3 linked regions of the Danio rerio genome follow. The protein of the gene in region 2 interacts with the protein of the main gene of each other region in a biochemical or structural test. Links are inferred from orthologs where the notes say so. Each region holds a gene or a part of one and is shown on either strand. Other genes may lie near its edges. The genes, in order: mlh3, msh4 and msh5.

Region 1 (3,660 bases), on a different chromosome or scaffold from region 2:
CAGTGAGACGTTTTTGGATCAGTAATGTGCAGATGTCTTTTATTATAAACAGCTTCTCTTTGCTCTTAGGCTTTGAGTACAGGTGTTATCCATTTCAATCAGACATTGTACTTCCCTTTCTGCCCAAGCCCAGAGCAGAAAGAGCCTTTAACTCAGGGACAGACAGCAGAGGTACAGCTCTAGACTGACATAAGGCCTGAAATCAGCTTTTCGGTGCACTTTAACTAATTGTTTTTTTTGTTACTCTTTAAGAGGATGCCCAAGCTCCCGATTCACTGTCGACTTTATTCTCAGAATGGCACAACCCTGTGTTTATACGACCACCAGAGGTAAAAAGTACTGAGTAAAATAGTGTGTGTATTAGGGTTGTCATGATACCATCAATTCAGACCAAGACACTATACCAGCTAAAGTATGACAATATCAAGTAGTACTGTAGTATCGATACTGCAGTAATTCATTACTCAAATCAGTTAGAAATACTATATTTTACAGTATATGTCATAACGCTTAAATTCAATTCAGAATTCCCTTATTATTGAAAATGTATTATTTGTACACACTTTCTCTGTTTATTTTTGTATACACTGTCACTCTTTTGTTGATATTACAATAATAATAATAATTAAATATATAAATCATTGATCACGCCGTATGATCTGTCATGACAGCACCAAACTACGACTCGTATGCAGACAGTTCAAGTAAAAGTAAAATAAAGTGGTCTATTAATTATTTTTGGCACAAATGTAATTACCAAAGTATTGTTTACATACTTCAGCGGCACCGCCAGTATTTTGGAGCCATAGTATCGCGGTGCTACCAAAGTACCAGTAAACCGTACAACCCTAGTGTGTTTATAAATAGTTTCACTATTATTTATTTACTAACAAGACCTTTTGGTAAAGTGTTACCTTACAAATTATTCTAAGCAACCTTACTCATGTGTTCTGTTGTTTATTTTGATAAGGTTGCTGTTGATGTAACCAGCGGCCAAGCAGAGGGTCTTGCTGTAAAAATCCACAATATTCTTTTCCCCTACCGTTTTACCAAGAATATGATCCACACAATGAGAGTAAGTATTGCCTATTGAAAGATTACACATTTCTTTAAATATATAAACTATGTTTTCACATTTTAAGATGCATTTTGACAGTATAATTGATCCTAAGTAAAGCATACAGCATTATGTCTCCATAGTGATGCATATTGTCAGTTCCAGGCCCAGCTGTGTCTTTTGTCTAACAAATGGCTGGGTGATACTTTCAGGCAAGGCCCTGAAAGCAAGATTTCTTTACTAAACCTGTAATGGCAGTTTCTTTTTTTACTAATAAGCACTGCCCACTAAATTGTGTATTTAACTGCGCGTAAGCTGCAGTAGTTAAGAGTTTTTTTTTCGATTAACGCCAAAGGATTCTGCTTTGAAGAGACCCGAAAATCACAACACTATCTTCTCTTTTTAGAACTTGTGAATCTGACACTTACTGACCATAGCCAGGTATTCATCCTAATGTGGTAAAATTATTCAAACAATTGGTCGAATCAAATAATGTTTTCATTTAAAGCCTGACTCTTCTGTAGTTGCGTCGTGTATTAAGTCTGACTATTCAACTCTACGGTTTAACTTTAGGGGAGCTGTACACTAAGCATTTAGTTTTTAAAAAAAAATGTGAAGTATGCCTTTAAGTCGTTAGAGTGGCTGACTGTAGTATTGGTAACCTAGTAACCAACTGTAAACAAGGCATGCATGTTTAAAGACTATAGAATACACAAGACATGGCACTCGTATCTTTTTAAATGCGGAAAAGTGTAACGATCAATATTGCAAATAAAGCCCGCCCTTCTAGTACAGGAATCAATCATTGATCGCTATAGACTGATGATACTCCGGGGGAGGGGCTTAGACCAGACGCGAGTTTCTGCAGATTTTGTGTGATTTGAACGCTTAGAAGTGAAACTAAAGACACAGGTGTTGTTTAATTTCATTGGTGATTCCTATTATGAAATTCAACCGTAAGCTTGGCAAATAGCTTTTGGAGAAATAAATGTTTCCCTATTCAGACAGACTGCCCGAGCATGCTGCCTGAGAGGTGTTTCAAAGATGGCAGCTTAGTGAAATGACTTGCCTTAAAGGGACTTTAGCATAATGGAGACAGGTGATTGGTCATGTGAGTGTGATGTCTGCTATGCTAGAGATTATTCAGCAAATTAATTTCCATTTCGCATTATTCACATACTTTTTTTTGCACCACCTCTAATGAGCAGAAAAGCTTTTGTGAATTTACTGAGTTTAAAATTATTTATTTATTGTATTTTGAAAGGATCCATCACTTGTTTCTTCTGTAATTCTTTAAAATGGACATTAAATCAGGATGATTTAACCCAGCTACTGTCACAAATAGGACTTTCCTTTAAAATGAATGTAAAATTGCTTTCTGTTTTACCCTTAGGTCATCAATCAAGTAGACAAGAAGTTTCTTGCTTGTTTGATAAATACAGCAGGGCAGAACACCTCTGAAAGCAGTACGGATGAAGGTATTGTGGGCTGAAAATCACAATGTTAAATGATTATATAAATCTAAACTTTTGTCATTGCTTCTCCTGGCAGGGAATCTTCTAGTGCTGGTTGATCAACATGCTGCCCATGAAAGAGTTCGACTAGAGGGTTTAATAGCAGGTAAATGATAGTGATAGAAGTAGATAAAAAGTACTACATAAAAAGACATTTTATATATTAGATAATAGTTAATAGCACCAAATAATCATATTAAATTGTTTTCAGAAGGAGTTGAAACTTTTGCTTAACAGTCCTCGAATCAAATGACATTAAATGTATTAAATACAGTTATTTAAAAAAATACTGTTTTACTGTAGATGCTTTTATTAGCATAAGAGATTTTTTCAAAAACATTAATAACCTTTAGACCCCAAACTTAGCTTATAAGAATATAAAAACAAAATGAAGTTCATATAAAAGCATTAAAAAGTCTAATACACATCAGGTGAGATACATCAAAGTATTCAATATATTTTTACAAACACTGCTTGTTTTTTTTTAATAGACTCTTACGAGGATGACCCAGACACACCTGGAAAAAAGAGGCTGTGTTCCTCACGTGTAACCCCACCTTTGGAGATTAATGTAACCGAGGAGGAATTGAGACTTTTGAGGTCAGTGCAGCTGTTTGAGTCAGCATTCCTGAATCCACCGTCGTCTCCTTTTTGAAATGTACATGTGTGCTCAATTAGTTCTGCACCCTCGCCCAAACAAAATGGTGTCATAAATCTTTCTTTTGTTCTTCAAGGTCTTGTCAGGGTTTCTTGAGAGGTCTTGCGTTAGATGTGAGGTTTCCGAAAAGTGAGTCACTGAGTGTGTTTTTGGAGAGTCTGCCCGCATGTTTCATAGAGAAAGAAAGCACAGAGCTCCGCCGTGGAAGGCGCTCGGTAATTAAAACCATTGCAGAGGTCAGGCTCAGTTCTTATTAGTTTTTTAACTGATTTAAGTTCAGTTTAGAGTCATATACTGTGTGTTTTATCCCGCAGGACTATCTGCGAGAACACATTGAGGTGAGCTGCCATGTAGAGATGTGATTTTTATATCTTTCTTTGAACAAAATACTATAAATTGTATGGTTTTGGAGCTTGAAGTATATATTTATG
Region 2 (3,660 bases):
CTTATTGTTTTGAGAAATGCATTAACTGTTGTGCAAATGTAAATATTGTTGTCAGAAATACACCGAAGCAATTGAAAAAAACTGTACAGTATATATAATATATTGAACACTTATTAAGGATTGTAAAGACTTTGGCTCACTTTGATGAACTCGTCTGGTAATTTCCCACCAGGCAAGGCTCCCCCCTCCAGCTTCATCTGAATAAAAAAGCCACGTGCATTGCTGAAACTTGTCCGGAGCGGAAGGTTGTGCTTCTCTCCAAGCTGAGCCACTAATCCTGATCAGCACAACACAACAATAATGCTGAAGTTCATAAATAACATGTTGTCAACAGGCTGGAATATGAAAAGTTTTACTATATAAACCGCAAAACTTATTGTGGCATTTGGCAAACCAGGTCATCATGAAAGTAGTTTTGAATCAGATTTTTCCTTACTAATAGTTATGTGTAAATAGCAGACCGATTCATGATAAGCTGGTGGTCATTCAGATTATTAGTGACAATAGTGTAATTTAAACAACCCTTTTTGAGAGATGAAAATGCTGATTATATGGTTCTGACTGTGACTCAATGTGTTTTGGCTGGAAATTATATTTGCAACCTACAACACATGATGAAGTAGGAAGATCAGGGGGAGGAGTCAGAGTCAGCAAGTTTTACTTTAATAAAAGTTCTTCTTTCTTCAATTTTTCCCTTTTAATGAGTAAATGAAATCTTGCATGTCTTAAGCGTGAACTTGCGTAGTTTCTTGTATCACTTCTCCTTTATGTTATTATGAAATGTTTGTAGACCAGGCAGAGATATCAGTAATACTTCCTCCTACCTTGGAAAATTGTGCAATCTGGAGTAGTTAAAGCTGATGAATTGCCATTTAAAAGGATAGTTTACCCAAAAATAAAAAAGTATCTCACCATTTACTTGAACAAAAAAGAGGTTATTTTAAAAATGCTGGTTGATGGTACCCACTGAGTTCCATTGTAGAAAAACAATTAATATGGAAGTCAATGTTCAAAATAACATCTTCAACAGAAGAGTGAAACTGAAACTGGTTTTTGGTAGAGATTTCATTTTTTGGTGAACTATCCCTTCAACAATAACCTGCACATCCATTCACCTAATACACACAATTGAACATGTACACATGTATAGACATCACCTACATATTATGTAACTGTACACATAAGTGTACTTTAGAGGGCTCACCTGCAATGTCATCTACCACCTCGGTGTAAGCTCTTCGTGCAATGTCCAGAAATTCACTGACGTTGGGTCGCACAGCGTAGCACTTCTGCGTGCGCATGGTCAAACTGCCTTTCATGTAGCTGGTGTCATCATTAATCAGAGATTTGATATGATCCAGAATGCTGTTAAACCTAAATCAACACGAATAAGAAACAATAAACATGGTGGACTGTATACATACTGTACAGTTGAATTCTTAGCCCCCTGAATCTTTAGCCCCCCTATATATTTTTCCCCCAATTTCTGCTGAACAGAAAGAACAAATTTCTAAACATAATACGTTTAATAACTAATTTCTAATAACTGGATTCTTTTACATTTGCCATGATGACAGTAAATAATATTTTACTATATCTTTCAAGACACTGGTATTTAGCTTAAAGTGACATTTAAAGGCTTAGCTAGGTTAATTAGGCAAGTTAAAGTTAATTAGGCAAGTCATTGTATAATGATGGTTTGTTCTGTAGAAATTAAAAAAAGATTTAGCTTAAAGGGGCTAATAATTTTACCTTAAAATGGTTTTAAGAAATTTAAAACTGCTTAGTTCCAGTTAAAATAAAACAAATAAGACTTTCTCTAGAAGAAAAAATATTATAGGAAATACTGTGAAAAATTCCCTAATCTGTTAAACATCATTTGGGAAATATTTGAAAAAGAAATACTCACAGAATATTCTCATAATTTTGACTTTAACTGTATATGAAAGTATGAGCTGTTTTATTTCTATATGCACAATCCTATGTCCACTGTTTTATTTCTATGTACAAAACATTCTTATTATCTCTGCTTACAGAGCAAGCTGATGCTTCATATTAAACTAACATGGTCAGTGCGGATGTGTGCAGATTTGCAAATACTGTATATACTTCACAGAGCTGACAGCATGAATATGATTACCTGCAGTCTTCAAGTGATTTACAGTACGCTGTCAGCAAGTGCGTTGTAGAATGTTGCAGCATCACCTAATCAAGGAGAAATGTAATTACTGTTATGTGGTATCCTTGCAGCTGTGCCTTTTTTTAGGCTTTCTCGAGCAAGTCAGAAAATACAATCAGTAAATAACTGTAACACTGATATTGTTACAAAGCTTATGCTATTTTTAAAATCATGATTTTCCAAAATAACAAAAACAATAGTAAATCAGGTCAGTTAAAAGTCCCATGAAATTAAAATTAATTTCATTTCTTAAAATTTTTTAGATGTTAAAATTAGTATTGTTAGTGTTTAGGATATCTATTAGCTAGTGTGCTCCAAAACAATGACAAAATTCATGTTTAAAAGATATAACTGCTATAAACTTGTAAAGCTTGTCATTTGTCACATCCGCCTAAATGGATAAATGTTTTTTTTCACGTCACCTCAGTTTCTCATCAAATCTTGACCAATCAAATGCTCTGACATGCCCCGCCCCTTCAAGACGCTTTACAATCTTACAACTTTTACGATCTATGCGCAAAGTCTAAAGCGCAGGGCTCAAAACCATTAAGGGCGTTTCTGAATCCTCTTTTGCTAATTTAAGGACGGAAAAATACGCTCTGCACTGCAGATCATGGTCTAACCGGGTTGTGCTTATTCTCTTAATGAGATATGGGTGTATTTTGAGAATAAACCAATCAGAGTCTCCTCTCCTATTCCCTTCAAGAGTCAGTTGCGTTGCACCATGGTGCATTTGCTATCTACATGGCGGACTTTGTAAGTGGAAAAAAGCGCATTCTGATTTCCAGCAAATGAATAAACAAGCAATAACAATGAAGTGTGGTCAAAAAACTAGTTATATCCAAACACACGTCCTACGCCCCATATGGTCCAAAACCTAACAGGTGGACAAATCTAAGTTTGTTTTTAATAAAACAAATATAAATATGCATATAATAAATAATATTACTAGTAATAATAATAACATTATACTAAAAGCAAGTTGTCGTGAATTAACTGAAAAATGCCCCCGAGAGGAGGTAGTGGTTTTTATATTTATGTAGAAAGTGACCATTTTTGTAATATTTTAATCTTTTAATTCTTTTTCAATTGTGAAGATATTTGCGTATTGTTTTAAGCAATACGTATGCGTCTAATGAGCACAACTAACACGCTCTGCGCTGGACTTTAACCCTGCTTTGTATAGCAATGGATTTGCTATTTAAACAATGTGGTGGAAAACAACAATAGCACAGGGTGTATGATAGGGCCATTCGTGTTTCAGTTGAGATTACGTCAAACACTGAATAAAAATGCACATTTCAAAGCACTTCACGGGACCTTTAATGTTGAATTTACATTATTGGCAGTTGAAAATATAGTAAAAACAAATGAGTCATTAGTCAGGTCATGGATTTATGTGTAACTGTTGTTTGATAAAATTGATCAAAAATGTATAGACAAAAGACACCTTGAGCGATGGGACCAGTTCCACGATGTGC
Region 3 (3,660 bases), on a different chromosome or scaffold from region 2:
TACTGGTTTCCAACATTCATCAAAATATCTTCTTTAGTGTTCAGCACAATAAATAAACTCTAAAGGTTTGAAACTAAAGGTTTGGTGAGTAGATCATGAGTAAAGTTTCAGTTTGGGTGAACTATCCCTTTATAACATGCTTTAGCTCAGCTATTTAAAAGAAATCTGCTTTGAATTAACCCTATTACAAAAATATTACACTGCAAAAACATATTCAAACACATATTCTTAGTAAGAGATTTGTCTCGTTTCTAGTACAAATATCTCTAAAAAGAAACATTTTCAAGATTTGTTTAAAAAAAAAACATTTGTCTTGTTTTAGGACATAAAACAACCAAAATAATCAGCCAATAGATTAAGCAAATAAAATAAAATAAAATAAAATAAAATAAAATAAAATAAAATAAAATTAAATAAAATTAAATAAAATTAAATTAAATTAAATTAAATTAAATTAAATTAAATTAAATTAAATTAAATTAAATTAAATTAAAACAAGTACATTTTCCTTTTTGGTTAAATTATTTTAAGATATTTGGACTACAAGCAACACAAAACCTCAAAGTAAGAAAATATTTTTTTCAGTGTAGGCCCATAACTCTACAGATGCCCTTTTGCAATCAAAGGTTCAATGACACAATGGATTAAACAGTTGACTGAATTGCCCTTTTATTTATATGGCAGGAACTATTGGCCATATGGTGTGTTGCACTTTCCCCCATTCAAAGTACTACGAGCAAAATGTCTTGGTATAAACAGTCTTTGCTTTGAATATTCTGAAAAAATATCTATATGTATGTCTATAGTATCTAACTATGTTTAATGCACAGTGTTAAATGAATGTCTCTAATGTTTCTAGTTGTGTTTGCCTGTTTCAGAAAGATGCTCTTTCCCGAGGAATTTGGCCCCGTAATAACTTTCACTTTGCCTTCCGTTTCAGAGCTGATGTAGGTGTTTGACACAAATACTGAAGTGCACAACTCCAGCAAAGGATGTCTGAAAGTGAAACAATGGACAAGATAGAGATTTTTTTATAAACAGAAGAAGAAGAAAAAAGTAATATTCCTGTACAGTAATTCGATGAGAATTGTACCGAGACTCGATCAGGGCCAGTCTGTGCTCTGTTGTCAGTATTGGACAGCAGTAGCCGTGTTCCCGAGAGGCCTGAGCGAGAGCAATGAGACAGTCCAGCTCTGCACACAGAGACATGACCTTATACATACAGTCACTCCGCTGAAGCACTGAGGCCTGAAGTTTTCTCATTACCGCCATCTCCAAATCTGGAACACAAACACCATTTTACCATTATACCATTTTAAAAAACACAGTAAAGGATTTTGTGCAGTAAATGTATTCATGATCCATACTTTTGCATACAATTTTTTGCAAATTACACAGTATTTAACTGTAATACGAACTGCATTTTACTGTAGGACAGTTATGCAGTATGTTACTGTATTTTGAAATTGCATTGTGGAAATTACTGTATATTTTATAATAAATAAATACAATACTGAAAATGCATATACAGCAAGATAAATTGTGTTATAAATGTAAATACAATATTTTTGTTGTAATTGATTTACAGTAAGTTACTGGCAAACTGCTGCCAGTAGGTTACTTTAGATTCAACAAGAAATTGTTAGGAGTGTACAAGCAAACAAGAATGCATGCAAGAAAGAAAGACCTAGGATGTCACAATGCAGGTCTCCCAGCATGCTGTCCAGCTCTTTGGTCCGAGTGCTGCGATAATGCAGTTGGTCCTTTGACAGAAACTGAAATAATCCACAAACAAACTCAAAAATGTTCTTCAACCAAACCCTCAAGCTTTAATAAGTCAAATATAAAAAGGCCTGGAGTATTTACTCAGCATGTGCATATTAGATTTCTGTGATAAGACCAATTAAGCCCAGTTCTTTTGAAAGGAAACTGTATCTTTAATCTTAAACAGTAATTAGATTGCATGCAAGGGCCAAAATTAGCAAGACACACATAAGAGTGAAATTAAAAGCAAAATGTAGCCTGATTGGAGTATGAACATATGTCATTTAAGCTAAATGAAATGCTGTATAAAATGTATACACACTTTGGGTTACCAGTTTAAACCAAAACCAAAAACTGAGCAACTGAATACTGTGTTGCCTTGTAACAAAGATTCTGGCATACTCACAATGAAATCAAGACCAGCAATCTCAAAGCTCTGTTTATCCAGCATACTGGGCAATCTTGGCACAGTCAGTAAAAATCCAATCTGTCATCCAAAGCGGTACAAAATACAAAAATGTTATCATGTGTATATATATATATATATACACACATAAACATATAACAGTTCTTTCTGGTTCTCAAATCTGATTGGCTGATAGCCGTGCTATATTCTGCAATATGCAATATCAGAACTCGTACAGCCTCCTCACCCTTCTGTATTACTCTGCCCACATAGAATGACGACTGATCAATAAACTAACTACAGTTTGACAAATGTTGCTGCTGTTGGAAAACATAATTTACCTTTGAGGCGAGAATGTAGCTGTTTAGATTGCAACTATGTAGTTTATTTATAAGGATAATGCCTATTTTAAATATTTATAATTTCTGAGATACAGTGCGTCAGCATTCATCAGCCTGTCATTGAGCAGAGCAAAGATGCTTTTTTGTCCATCCACAAGATGGCGACAAAGACCACATAATAATTACATTCTAAGTTGATTTCTCTCTCTTTTATGTTACAGTGCTGTATTTATAGTACCAGAGTAATTGTAGTGTATTGAGTGTGAGATAAGACTCACATATCAGGAATGTATATATTTTGTGTTGGCCACTCTTTAGACTTTACGCTACAGAATCATTTAAATACTAGCTCTAAAGTGACGTTGGTGAAGTAGCAATGGATTCTAATGCTCTAAAGTTTTTCTAGAAATAAACCCAGCAACTACATAAGAAAGTATGAATAAACGATGGTTATATCGTTGCCATACTTTGTACATGGTACATGCACATTTCCTACTAAAATTCCATGACTTTCAGTAAATATTCATGACATATTCATTCAATATTGATGTCTATGTTTCTATATTGCAAAACTTTTTCAGTCTTTTAAATTTGCAATTTGTTTAATCAGCCCAAAATGTCTAGAGATATCACACCTGTAGCATGAATTTGGACTTGCTGTTTGCATGAACCAAGAAACAAGAATGACTATAAAAGTTTATGGGAAACCTGTTTGGGAACAATCATAATTTTAGTATATTTGTTTGGTGGCACCAATTTGTTTTACTTCAGTTACAACCTTATTTTGCTATTGAATCAAACTGCACTGCTTGCTGCTTTTGCTAACCCAGATGTCACAGTCATTAGTGCAGCCGTTGCAGCTGCTTGTCATTTAGTAACACTGCAGTATACTAATTACAGGAACATCCGTCCTGGGGCAAGATGAGGGTCAAATGGCCTGCTCAGGGGCGCAATGGCAACCTCGGTGACTCTTCATTTATTGGGTCAATTCAACATGGAATTAAACCCCTCAACCTTTATGCTAACAGCTTCAGTGTCAACAATTAGGTTAAACATCACACTGTAATGAATGGAAAACAGCCTTAATTATGTCCTGACCAGAGGCATGTAGATGACACTGCAGGTGGAGAAACGAGGATCCAGGTTTTC

What was found.
Region 1: the proteins of msh4 (region 2) and mlh3 form a complex in vitro, tested with the Homo sapiens proteins (2 studies listed by BioGRID). The link is inferred for Danio rerio from reciprocal best matches to the Homo sapiens genes MSH4 and MLH3.
Region 3: the proteins of msh4 (region 2) and msh5 form a complex in vitro, tested with the Homo sapiens proteins (2 studies listed by BioGRID). The link is inferred for Danio rerio from reciprocal best matches to the Homo sapiens genes MSH4 and MSH5.

The regions. Positions count from the first base shown.
Region 1 is NC_133198.1:27,533,825-27,537,484, forward strand, and holds part of mlh3 (DNA mismatch repair protein Mlh3), read left to right. Parts: intron 1-69; coding exon 70-171; intron 172-252; coding exon 253-329; intron 330-970; coding exon 971-1,075; intron 1,076-2,450; coding exon 2,451-2,535; intron 2,536-2,608; coding exon 2,609-2,677; intron 2,678-3,062; coding exon 3,063-3,171; intron 3,172-3,305; coding exon 3,306-3,465; intron 3,466-3,543; coding exon 3,544-3,567; intron 3,568-3,660. UniProt on the Homo sapiens protein: Probably involved in the repair of mismatches in DNA.
Region 2 is NC_133192.1:48,891,810-48,895,469, reverse strand, and holds part of msh4 (mutS protein homolog 4), read right to left. Parts: coding exon 3,630-3,660; intron 2,206-3,629; coding exon 2,141-2,205; intron 1,375-2,140; coding exon 1,205-1,374; intron 278-1,204; coding exon 141-277; intron 1-140. UniProt on the Homo sapiens protein: Involved in meiotic recombination. Required for reciprocal recombination and proper segregation of homologous chromosomes at meiosis.
Region 3 is NC_133190.1:42,658,769-42,662,428, forward strand, and holds part of msh5 (mutS protein homolog 5), read right to left. Parts: coding exon 3,610-3,660; intron 2,252-3,609; coding exon 2,171-2,251; intron 1,776-2,170; coding exon 1,688-1,775; intron 1,281-1,687; coding exon 1,094-1,280; intron 997-1,093; coding exon 870-996; intron 1-869.